Linked DNA regions of Danio rerio. The protein of the gene in region 2 purifies or fractionates together with the protein of the main gene of each other region. This does not show direct contact. Links are inferred from orthologs where the notes say so. Each region holds a gene or a part of one and is shown on either strand. Other genes may lie near its edges.

The links.
Region 1: the proteins of keap1b (region 2) and map1lc3a purify together in Homo sapiens (affinity purification with mass spectrometry; 3 studies listed by BioGRID and IntAct, with this or other methods). This does not show direct contact. The link is inferred for Danio rerio from reciprocal best matches to the Homo sapiens genes KEAP1 and MAP1LC3A.
Region 3: the proteins of keap1b (region 2) and ikbkb purify together in Homo sapiens (affinity purification with western blotting; 7 studies listed by BioGRID and IntAct, with this or other methods). This does not show direct contact. The link is inferred for Danio rerio from reciprocal best matches to the Homo sapiens genes KEAP1 and IKBKB.

Annotation. Positions count from the first base shown.
Region 1 is NC_133186.1:28,686,155-28,690,369, forward strand, and holds the start of map1lc3a (microtubule-associated proteins 1A/1B light chain 3A), read left to right. Parts: upstream 1-1,400; 5' UTR 1,401-1,481; coding exon 1,482-1,521; intron 1,522-3,169; coding exon 3,170-3,225; intron 3,226-4,215. Other genes in the region: dynlrb1 (dynein light chain roadblock-type 1), read left to right, coding at 556-599. UniProt on the Homo sapiens protein: Ubiquitin-like modifier involved in formation of autophagosomal vacuoles (autophagosomes). While LC3s are involved in elongation of the phagophore membrane, the GABARAP/GATE-16 subfamily is essential for a later stage in autophagosome maturation.
Region 2 is NC_133181.1:199,204-203,197, forward strand, and holds the end of keap1b (kelch-like ECH-associated protein 1B), read right to left. Parts: intron 3,304-3,994; coding exon 2,627-3,303; intron 2,233-2,626; coding exon 2,027-2,232; intron 1,882-2,026; coding exon 1,705-1,881; intron 1,546-1,704; coding exon 1,385-1,545; 3' UTR 504-1,384; downstream 1-503. UniProt on the Homo sapiens protein: Substrate-specific adapter of a BCR (BTB-CUL3-RBX1) E3 ubiquitin ligase complex that regulates the response to oxidative stress by targeting NFE2L2/NRF2 for ubiquitination.
Region 3 is NC_133183.1:3,547,135-3,551,353, forward strand, and holds the start of ikbkb (inhibitor of nuclear factor kappa-B kinase subunit beta), read left to right. Parts: upstream 1-1,404; 5' UTR 1,405-1,576; intron 1,577-4,219.

The sequences.
Region 1 (4,215 bases), on a different chromosome or scaffold from region 2:
TTTAACACTTACTTATATGAATACTTTATTTTAAAATAATTATCCAGCTGCTATTTATTTATTTTTGCAAATTTAACAAGTTATTATTAAATTGTATGTATTAGCCTTATTCTTAATACAATGTTAGGCTTATTTTAATACAAAAGTATTAATTACTTTTATTTATTGATATATATGTTTTATTTAAGCCTTTTCTCTGAACATTTCACTGAATGGGTCCCCCGGACCTTATTTTGAAAAGCCCTGATTTAGGGTAAAGTCTAGATAGAAATAGGATACACTGCTGGCTAGAAGTGCGATATGCACATCAATATAGCAGCAATTTTAATGACACTGTATAACAATAATTAATATTTTTACATTACTGTTTACAGGTTTAGAGTTAGGGTAGGGGTTGATGTTTTGTTATAAATGCCATAATGTTGTACATTCAAGTCTATCTTTACAAAAACCAATTTGCGTGTTGTATTATTCTGTAATGTGCTATATAAATCTGATATCAACTAATTGTAATGATCAGAAATTAATCATATATTTACTCTGTTTTCTCCACAGACAAGGACTATTTCCTGATCGTCATTCAAAATCCCACAGAGTAGTCCTTCTAAGTACTTCTGAAGTATTTTTTTTTCTGTAATTACAGGCCAAAAGTGTTTCATTTAATGTTTCAGTGAGGTTTATATAGTACTATTAACCACATAACATTACAGGAAGTTGCTTCTTATCCTATTATAAAAATATGGTTTGTACTGCTCTTGCTTATCATTCCAATAGTTTGCCATATACTTAATTTATTGTTTTCTCATTCTCATTTTTGCAAGTACTCCAAACTGTTCATCATCAAAAAGCAAAAACATGACACTATTACATACTGTACTTGTTTGTGAATGCTAACAGGACAATAAAACAACAATGTATTTCCTTTTATTACTTTTTGTGGCTGTGTGTATTCATATTGAATGGAAAAGGTGCTTTGTTTTTTGCCATAATATAAATTTAGTTTAGGTTTATATAGAGAATTGAAAATGATTTCATGTTTAAAATAATTCTTGTAAATGGCTGCAAAAACCTGTTTGAATTTAAATTGATCGCAAAAGAAGAAAATATTTTTTAGAAATGTTGAAAACTCTTGACTTAATTTTGCATTTTTCCCCACTACAATGGATATCAATGGTTACCGGATTCCAACATTCTTCAAAATATCTTCTATTTCATTTAATAGGAAATATTAACCCATAATAGTCTAAAACCAGTTGAGGTTAAGCAAATGCTGAGTAAATGTTTAGTTTTGGTTAAACTATTCATTTAAAGAGGACTCTGTCTCTTTAAATCTGATGACGTCACGAGCTTTAGTATATTGTCTCGAGCTGTTTTGCTTACAGTGAGTCAGGAGCTCGAAAAGAAGCCGAGTCGACCGACAATTCAGCATATAATAACACGCAAACCCTTTAAACTACTTTTAACCACATTCAAGCACAGTTATGCCATCCGACAGACCCTTCAAACAACGACGGAGCTTCGGTAAGATGAGTTTTATTCGTGCCTTGTCAGCCGAAGTGTATTTGTTTATCAGGTTTGTTTTTGTCCCTAGCCTGCTAGCAACTGCGTGACACACTGTTTACATTCCTCTACAAAGCTCTAAATGCTTATGAGACGATTATAGAAATAAATATTAAAGTCTAAATGACAGTTTTTAACAAAAACCGACAGAGGTCAGTTGCTAAACAGTAAGCTAGCTTGGGCTTTTTTATAGGCCTTGTGTTTAAATTTTATCAGCTTTATTTTTTTTACAACTGTTGTGTTTGTAAATACGTATATAACCTTATATTTAACTTTTTACTTAGAAACATAGATGAATGACATATAGTTACAGATATGTAGCTAGATAAATGTGTTGTTTACCAGCTTTGTGAAAATGTGAGATCAACATTTCTTTTTTTTGACAGTAGTGTTTTTCTGTTACATTTGGTGTAAATGATGCATTTATATATTTAGAATATTTATTGTTTGACAATAACATTGAAGGAAAGGATGGACTGTACACGTGCTGTTGATATGATGCTGTAATATGAGCTCTTTCTCATAGTCCAGACTGTGGACAGGGTGTGGGGAGGGAGGAGCATAAAACCCTTGCATAATCTTCCTAAACATAACAAGTGCAACATAGATTTGCTGTTTCAAACACATCTGTAAGAGTCCGGGTCAATATGATCTGCATACAGTCTTATATTTGTCCAGCCTTTGGGATTATACAATTGACACGGATGACCCAGACATGACATCAGTAAAAATGACACACAAGTTAGGAAGCTTACCCTGATAAGCAAGCTGGATTTTTTTTAGTTTTACTTTGAAATATACTTGCAGTGGTAGCCAGAATGAAACACAAGTTACCCACATCATCACTTAAATAGATATTGATTTTCGACAAACAAAACATAAGTTAATTTTTACAATTTTATTTATTATGACATTGTTATACAGTTTCTTTTCAATGGCTTAAAGTAAAAAGACTGTTGAAAAAAATCCACTATTTCTCTTACTTTTATACTATTCAGGAGCCATTTGCACCCTCTGACAGGTAAAATCTGCTTCTTTCACTCCAAGTTCAAAGCAAACTCGAATGCCAAAGCATTTTAGAAATGTATAGAAAATAGCCTATGTAATATATTAACATAAATTAATAAAATAATCAGCAGATGAGAAATAAATGATAGAAAAGGAATAAAAACAGACAATGTCTCTAAAAATGCAAATCTTGTAAATTTTAATTACAAGATTAAAACGTGTAGTTTATTTAAATAATGCAAATGCGTTGATTAACCATTGTTGAGCTTTCAGAGTGATAACAAAAGATATTAAACCTTTTAACAGAAATTAATGTTTGTTTGTCTGTTATACTGTACATTATGGTGGAATAGGTTTGTAGAGTAGGGCATGTCAAACAACACATCCGCAATTATTTTTCCTCAAGTTTTTAGGAATGTTTATTGAGCGTTTCTGCTAAACAGGTTTGACATAAGCAAATTCAGCAAATGCTAATGCAGTGATTACAGTGTTTTCAGGAATGAGTCTTGAAAATATACTTACTGTGTATTTTGAATTTGGACTGTAAAATGTATATTATTCAGAAGTGTACCAAATTTCTGTTTGTTTTTTGTCTTTTCAGCTGATCGTTGCAAGGAAGTGCAGCAGATACGAGAGCAGCATCCTAATAAAATTCCGGTGAGAAACTAGTTTTGTTTTATGCAAGTGTCATAAATGAATTTAGACTTATTGCTTTAGCCTTATTGCTTTCAAGATGTCACTTACCTGTCAGCTCCGGATTTCTTTTAAGATCCTGAAATTTATTACTCTAAAACAATGGGCTTCAACTTCTATGAGGGCCTTGGGGTGACTTAGAATTATTGAAAAAGAAAAGATGAAGCTAAAGCAGTTAGAAATACTGCATTTATTTAACAAAGCATCAATCATTTTAAAGTGTGATTTCTAGACCTTGGAAATATAAAAATAAGTAATATTAAAATACATTGTTCTATGTATCCACAGCTCTAAACCATTATATGAATATATCAAAATATATTAGGAAATAATCTTAATTTTTTATTGTAATCTTTATCTTTAGTGAAATATATTAGGAAATATATTTCAAAGACAAGACATTCCATTCTGTCATCTGCATCAAATTCAGTATAAGTGATTTTTATATACAGTTCTCTCCCCAGTTTGAAAATTTTTGGAGGCGAAATTTTTTTCCCCATTTCTCGGTGCATATGGATAATATATATTGGTGCATTTGATCAAAACCGATAATTAAACAGATATTTTTATTAAAAATAATATTTCAGTCACAGAACATATTTAGAAATGAAAAGATAATATATTTAAATTAATGCAAAATATTGCAAAAAAAAATTACAAACTACAACATTTCAACAAAATTGTATATATTTTTTGTAAAAGTTCCTAAGGCTCCTATGGCTTCAGTACTGAATAAACTAATGTATATGCACAAATAAAATATTGTACAGTATCCTATAGAAAATATTAATTGAAATCAGACATTTGTGGGGGGTGTACTCGTATATGCTGAGCACTGTACATAAAAAGCATAGTAACTTTCTACTTTAATGTTCTACTTTAACATTTTGACATTATATGCTAAATGATTAGAAAATATTGATCTATAATCATTTAGCATATAATGTAAAAATG
Region 2 (3,994 bases):
TCACTCACACACACACACTCTCTCTCAAACATTCTCTCACACACACCCTCGCGCACTCATATCAGGTTTCTGTGAATTGTGGGGACTCTTCATAGACTTCTGTTGTTTTTATTCTGACCCAGCAGCATTCTCTCCCTCACTCCACCCTACAGAAGACCTGCTCAAGCTCTTAAACCATGTAGATGAAAGTGTGTGTCCCTGGAGCACAACATCTTGTCCAACACACTCTTATGGGTGTGTATATTTGGCACTATGCAGCAATACACACTCTCCACCGCGCAGGTACCTGCTGCTGACCGTTCTGCAGGTCTGGAGTCTGCAGATACTCACATTGACACATTTAGCTGACATTAAAGCCCTTTAGTGGGATTAATACATGTATTTTCTCCTGAACTGTGTGTCAAAGCTGGAGGCAGGGAGTCTGCTGGATACACACTGTGTGCATACATTCTGTGTTTTGGCGCCACCACTCGGTCAAACCACACATACACACACACACACTCTCCAACAACCAACACACACCTTTAATATACAATGTTTGTTGCTGTAAAATATACAAAGCAGACTGTAAATCATCTGTGATGCTTAATTGTGGAGGATTAAATGAAATCTGCATCCCTCATCAAACAGAAGCAGAGTAAAAACGAGCCGCAGGCGGAGGAGCGGCACGGCGGCGTCTCAATAAATTACAGAGAATCAGACTTCATGCAGTACCCATGTACAAAACCCCTGGAAAAACAGCTTCAACTGGGCTTACAAATACAATATTGGATCATCAACTTTGATTGCAGCAGAACCAGCGCCGGGCTCCACGGCTAACACAGACTGAGAGAGAGAGACTGAGAGAGAGAGGGAGAGAGAGAGAGAGAGACTGAGAGAGAGAGAGAGAGAGAGAGAGAGAGAGAGAGATCTGTGCGGCTCGTATGAATCTGAGGAACTGAGCGGCGTCTCATCTCGTACCGTCCCAGAGCTAAAGAGGAATACAAAACACCTCAATATACTGACAGCGGCGCACGTGTGTGTGTGTGTGTGTGTGTGTGTGTGTGTGTGTTGATGTGCTTTAGGAGGACACTGAACTGTATAATGACAGTGTAATTACAGTAGGGGTACTGTAATGAGGTGTGTGTGTGGGGGGACACACTGCTTACAGTACAGAGGACGTCCTGCCTGTGGAAAGTCCTCAAAAACCACATATACAAGTGTGTGTGTGTGTGTGTGTTTGGCCAGCCGTCACTCCTGTAGCACACACTCAGACATACTGTCGTGCTGATGGTGGCACTGTTCTGGGATCAGGATAAAGTGGATCCACAGGAGTGTGTGTGGAGATGACAGACATTCTGCTCATCTGTGTGTGTGTGTGTTAACACACACACACGCGCCGCCGCTAGCACTGACAGGGGATCAGCTCTTTGTGACAGGGCTCCATGGTGACGGCGACTCCGACTCCGCTGCGGCCCGACTTCATGTGTGTGACCTCTGTCCATGAGTCCGTCTCTGGGTCAAAACACTCCACACTGTCCAGGAACGTGTTCCCATCATAGCCACCTGCGCGCACACACACACACACACACACACACACACACCATTATAGGCTTCTTACACAGCACTTTCAGTAAATATCTACAGCCGGAGTTTTCTCCTCATGAGGGCAGAGATAGAGAGAGTGTGTGTGTGTGTGTGTGTGTGTGTGTGTGTGTGTCGTACCCAGCACATAGATGCGTCCGTGGTGTGTGGTGACCCCCAGAGCGCTGCGCCGGTGCCGCATGGATGCGCTGAAGCTCCAGCTGTCCTTCTCCACATCGTAGCGCTCCACCGTGTTCAGCTGGTTGGTGCCGTCATATCCACCCATCACATAGATGTAGTTCCCCAGCGCACACACACCTGAACACACACACACACACACCAGGACTCTCGTTACACACATGGGCTCTGGGTGACCTTTAACCGTCAGGACTGAGCGGGTCAGGCAGAGCTGTGGGTCCACAAACTGTGTGTGTGTGTGTGTGTGTGTGTGTGTGTGTGTCACCTGCGCCGCTGCGGACTGTGTTCATGGCCGCTATGCTCCTCCACTCGTCCCGCTCGGGGTTGTAGCATTCCGCGGAGCTCAGCCGGTGCGTCCCATCGAAGCCGCCCACCGCATACAGCAGCCGGTTGATCACGGCCACGCCCACTCCGATCCGCCGCGTCAGCATTGGCGACACCAGCTGCCAGCTGTCCCGCTCCGGGTCATACCTCACACACACACACACACACACACAGAGAGTGAACACACACACACACACCCCTACAGACCTGCACTGGCCGATTACTGTCAGGAAGAATCTGACTAGCCCATACACACCTGTCCAACACACACACACACACACACACACACACACACACACACACACACTGAAAGGACTTTGATTTAATTTGATGATTGACAGGGCTCGTAACTAAGCAACAGAGCAGTCCATTAATGAGGAAGTGGAATGTGTACACACACACTGTTCAGTCACACTCCTCTGTCACACACTCATAAGTATGCAGTGTGTCTTCAGTAATAAAGTGCACACTTTTAAGACGATGCGATGCAGAACAGTCTGATATAGTGTGTGTGTGTGTGTGTGTGTGTGCTCCTCCTCACCTCTCCACGCTGTTGTGGTGTGTGCAGCCGTGTGATCCGCCCACGGCGTAGATCATGCCGTCGATGACGCCGACGCCGATGCGGTTGCGCGGGACGCTCATGTGTGCGCAGGGCCGCCAGCAGTTGTTCATGGGGTTGTAGCAGTCCAGCGTGTGTGAGTCCATGTTCCCGTCGGGCCCGTTGTTGCGTCCACCCACGGCGTACAGCAGGCCGCTGATGACGCAGGCCGCCAGCCCGCTGCGGGGCACCTGCAGGTCCGCCAGCCGCAGCCACGCGCCGCTGCAGGGGTTGAAGGCCTCCAGGAAGCTGAGCGACTGCCGGAAGTATCCGCCCACCGTGTAGATCAGCTGCGGCACCTTGGGCGTGCGCAGGGGGATGACCTTGGTGGGCTTGTGCAGCGTCAGGTCCCGGAAGATCTGTGACAGGTAGTCTTTGCTCTGCGCGTCCCACTCGAAGTGCTCCAGCTGCCGCTGCAGGAAGTGCGGCGTGAGCGAGTGGCAGCGGACGGCCTGCAGCAGCGCCTGCACATACGGACGCCGCTCCTCACGGTCGTACTGAACCCACGCCACACACGCGTGGAACACCTCCGACTCGCAGCGCACGTTCAGCTCGTCCCGGCTGATCAGGGTCACCAGCTGACAGTGAGACAGGGTGAAGAACTCCTCCTGCGTCGCCACCTGCAGGACACACACCGCGCGCGCATGTTAGAGTTGGGGTATTGGTGGTGAGGGCATGCTGTTGGGGGGTTTGGGTTAGGGGGATGTACGGTGGTGCAAAACAACAACACAGACTGAAACACTTACGAAGCTCGAGACAAAGGTAGACTCTGGAAAACATTTTCCCACGATAAGACGCAACTACAGAGGAGAAACCATCTCCCCAAGGAGAAACACAAGAACAAGACCCAAAACACTGTTAGCAGTGCCCAAACACACTTACAGGCACACGCAGAGGGAACGCTCCACACACCGGGAAATATCTATAGAGTCACGGTTTGACCTGCTGCGATTAAACATTGTTCTTGTTCTTGTGTTTCTCCTTGGGAAGATGGTTTCTCCTCTGTAGTTGCGTCTTATCGCGGGAAAATGTTTTCCAGAGTCTACATTTGTCTCGAGCTTCGCTTCGTATTTGACATGAAACGCACATTTTACTCATATATGTAGCGTGTATATGCCCATGAGCTGCCCAGGCGGAATCTGCACACGGTTTTGCTTTTTCTGCACAAAATTGTGTTCAAAATCTGCGGATTTATGTGTAATTATTTTAGGAGTATCATGACTAAAACCCTAATATATGAACTAAAACTAATCCCTTTAAACTTTAATTTCATGTTTACAATGCAAATCCATACAGATCCACTTTATTTGG
Region 3 (4,219 bases), on a different chromosome or scaffold from region 2:
AACAGATTTATTCAAGTATGTTACGGTTAAAATTATATTTATAATTACTGTAGTATTTTTCTTGTGGGTAATAATAAATGCTGTATAATTCTTTTGAAGTACGTTAAGCCTACAGTACAGTTGTTTATATTAGCTAACTATAGTGGTTGTGTGTTACCATAGCAACTAGAGTTACCACAACAGATTAATTCAAATCAAAAACATAATATTTACTATATAATTACTGTAGTATCTTTTATGTAGGTAATAATAAATGTGGTATAATTCTTCATAAAGTATGCCTACAGTACAGTTGTTTATATTAGCATACTATTGTTGTCGTGTTACTATAGCAACTTCATAGTTACCACAACAAATTAAAGTAGGCTACTTTACGGTTTAAAATTATATTCACTGTGACTGTATAATTACAGAAGTATTCTTCATGTACGTAATAATAAATCCTGTATAATTCTTCAGTATGCTTAACCTACAGTACAGTAGTGTTGTATACAATACAGAAGAAAACTAGTACAGTGGTTTATATTAGCCTACTATAGTTGTTGTGTTACCATAGTAACTACAGAGTTACCGCAACAGATTTATTCAAGTACGTTACGGTTAAAAACATATTTATAATTACTGTTGTATTTTTCATGTGGGTATAATAATTGCCGTATAATTCTTTGTGAAGTATGTTAAGCCTAGTTGTTTATATTAGCCTACTATAATAACTGTAGTATCTTTCACGTAGGTAATGCTGTATATAGCATATAGCATACAGTACAGAAGAAAACTAGTAGTTGTTTACCCTACTATTGTTGTTGTGTGTTACTAGTAAGTATAGTTGCAACAACAGACTTATTCAACTACTGTACAGTTAAAAAACATAAGATTTACTATATAATTACAGTAGTAGCTAATATTCTTCGTGTAGGTAAGGATACATGTCCTATAATTCTTCAGTACAGTACAGTCTTGTATACAGTACAGTAGAAAGCTAGTACAGTTGTTTATATTAGCCTACCATAGTTATTGTGTTATGATATTAACTACAGAGTTACTACAACATATTTATTGAAGTACTTTACGGTTCAAAAACATTATATTTATAACTACTGCGTATCTTTCATGTAGTTAATAATAAATGCTGTATATTTCATGACGTATGTTTACCCAGTACAGTTGTTTACATTAGCCAAATATAGTAGTTGTGTTACCATAGCAACTACCCCAACAGGTTAATTCAAATAAAAAACATAATATTTATTATATAATTACTGTAGTATCTTTAATCTCGGTAATAATAAATGTAAAATTCTTCGTGAAGTATTTTTAGTATGCAGTATGTACAGTACAGTAGGCTATTGAAAATACGGAAGTCTGTTTTTGAGTCTGCGCTTCTACGGTACTTACGGGGGAAAGTTTCAGGAAGTAGAGAAACTCAACGCTCTTCTGCTTTCAAACACAATCACAAACCTCTTTACAGTCTGATTTACCGAACAAATCCGTTAAATGTGTAAAAGTCGCGGGAATAATCAGCTGTGAGACGGAGAAAAGTGTATTTTGGAGGTCAGATCCAGTCTTACAGCAGCAGGTAAAATCACTTCACATTCACGACACGATGAGTTCCAGTAAACACGAAGAGTGTTATCGCACATAAACAATCTTAAACATATGTAACGTTACTTTACTTACTTAGGTAGAGTTATTTTGTAATTCAGCAGCTGTATGAAGCTTTAAGATAATCAGATTGTGTGTACAAATATCAAACACGAGCCGGTTATTAAAAACGAAAGTGATTCATTCATCAAAGTTAAATAATATTTAATAAAATCGCAGCTTTTAAGTTGTCCAAATGAGTATGTAATCTTAATTGTATAATTTGTATATCTAAGTACACTTAAAATAGACCCAAATACATAATATAGCTAATACAATAACATTCTAATTAATTACAGTTACTAAACTATAACAATATAACACAGTTACTAAATAATAATAATTATTAATCTATAAACTCTTATTGTGTGACTCTTATTTTGTCATTTATATCCACATACACCCAGAATAGAAACCAAATGCATAATATATTCAATACAATAACATTTTACTTAATTACATAGGTACTAATAACAATGAATCTATTAACTAAAGAAAACAATCATTATAATTTTTAATAATAACTATTGTATTCAACATTTAACAGCTGTATGAAACTTTAAACTAATAGATTTTTGTTCAAAGAAAAAGTGAATGAATACACTACATTTTTAATCAATTACGTAGTTACTAAATACTAATAATTACAACATAATATTTTGTAAACAAGAATGATCCTATTTTAATAAGTATTGTAATTCAGCAGCTGTATGTAAATTTGTCCCGATTTTGTGTACAAAAAATGCACAGGTCATAAAAAAGCCATTCATTTATCAAAGCTGCATAATACACATATTTATCACTGTTTTAAAAGTGTTTGTTATTTTAAATCAGTCTTTAGTCATCTGAACGACGATGCGGGCTCTTATTTTGTCATTTGTACATCTAAATACTCTTTAAATACACTCATAATAGAACCAGATACATAATAATAAACATTCTATAAATGCTGGGTTGTCTTAACATGTTTGGTCATTTATAGACAGAAGTGGTAATGGATTGATTTTATCAATTCAATTTAAATGAGACCTTTCCATTTTTGTCTATATTTAACCCAGCATTGGGTTGAAACTCATTCAGTGCACCAATACAACAGCGTTCTAATTAATCATGTAGTTACTAAATGCATTTTAATTTAACAAACTAAAGAAAACAATTATAGGTTAAATAATTATATTATATATAATTTATAATTATAGTTTTAATAATAATACTAATTATAAAATCCAGAAAATAAAAGTAAATAATAATAATTATACTAAAAGTAAAAATATTAATAGCAATAATACTTTTATTGTTCTAATAAAACATTGTAGTTCGTTATTTTTCAGACAAGAGCTTCAAGATATATAATTTGTCCTTATACCTTGGGTCAAATATAGACAAATCTAACTGTTGGGTTAAAATATTTAATTTAATTTAATTTAAGAGATTAACCCATTGGTTGGGTTTGTCCATATTTGACCCAGTATCAGGTTAAAACAACCCATTTGTTTTTTGGGGGACCAACGCAATAACATTATAATTATTATAATATAGATAAGTATTGATTATTAACATTATAATGGTTACCGAATATATTTTAATTAAAATAAACTAAAGAAAACAATAATTACAATATTTAAATAATACAATAATTTAAGTTTTGATTATTAACATTATAATGGTTACTGAATATATTTTAATTAAAATAAACTAAAGAAAACAATAATTGCAATATTTAAATAATACAATAATTTAAGTTTTGATTATTAACATTATAATGGTTACTGAATATATTTTAATTAAAATAAACTAAAGAAAACAATAATTGCAATATTTAAATAATACAATAATTCTAAAACAATAATAAAAAATAATATAATACAATAATATTCATTGTACTAATAGTAATAATAATAATAATTTTATTGACCTAATCAAACATTATTTTTTAGACGAGAGCTTCCAGAGATATAATGTCTTCATACATTTTAAAAACGTTGGGTCAAATATGGACAAATTCAACTGTTGGGTTAATTTTTTTTAATTTTTCATTTAGTTGAAAAAAATAACCTAGTGGTTGGGTTTGTCCATTTTGACCCAGCATTGGGTTAAAACAATACATTTGTTTTTTGGTGGGACCAATACAATAACACTCTAATTAATTAATAACATTCTAATTAATTACGCATAGCTACTAAATACATTTTAATTAAAAAAAACTAGACACAACAATAATTGCAATATTTTTAAAATAATGATTCTAAAATCATAAAAAAATATTAATATTAATAAAAAATATATTAATTGTACTAATTGTAATAGGAATAATATTTTTTTGTCCTAATTAAACATTCATTTTTATACAAGAGCTTACAGAGATATCATTTGTCTTCATACATTCTAAAAATCATTGTGTAAAATATGCACAAAACCAACTATTGGGTTAAAAAATGTTTCATAAATTTACCCAGTGGTTGAGTCGATCCATATTTGACCCAGCATTGAGTTAAAAACAACTATTTTTTTTTTGTTTTTGTTTTTTAGAGTTAACCAAAACAATAACATTCTAAATAATTTATAACATTGTAATTAA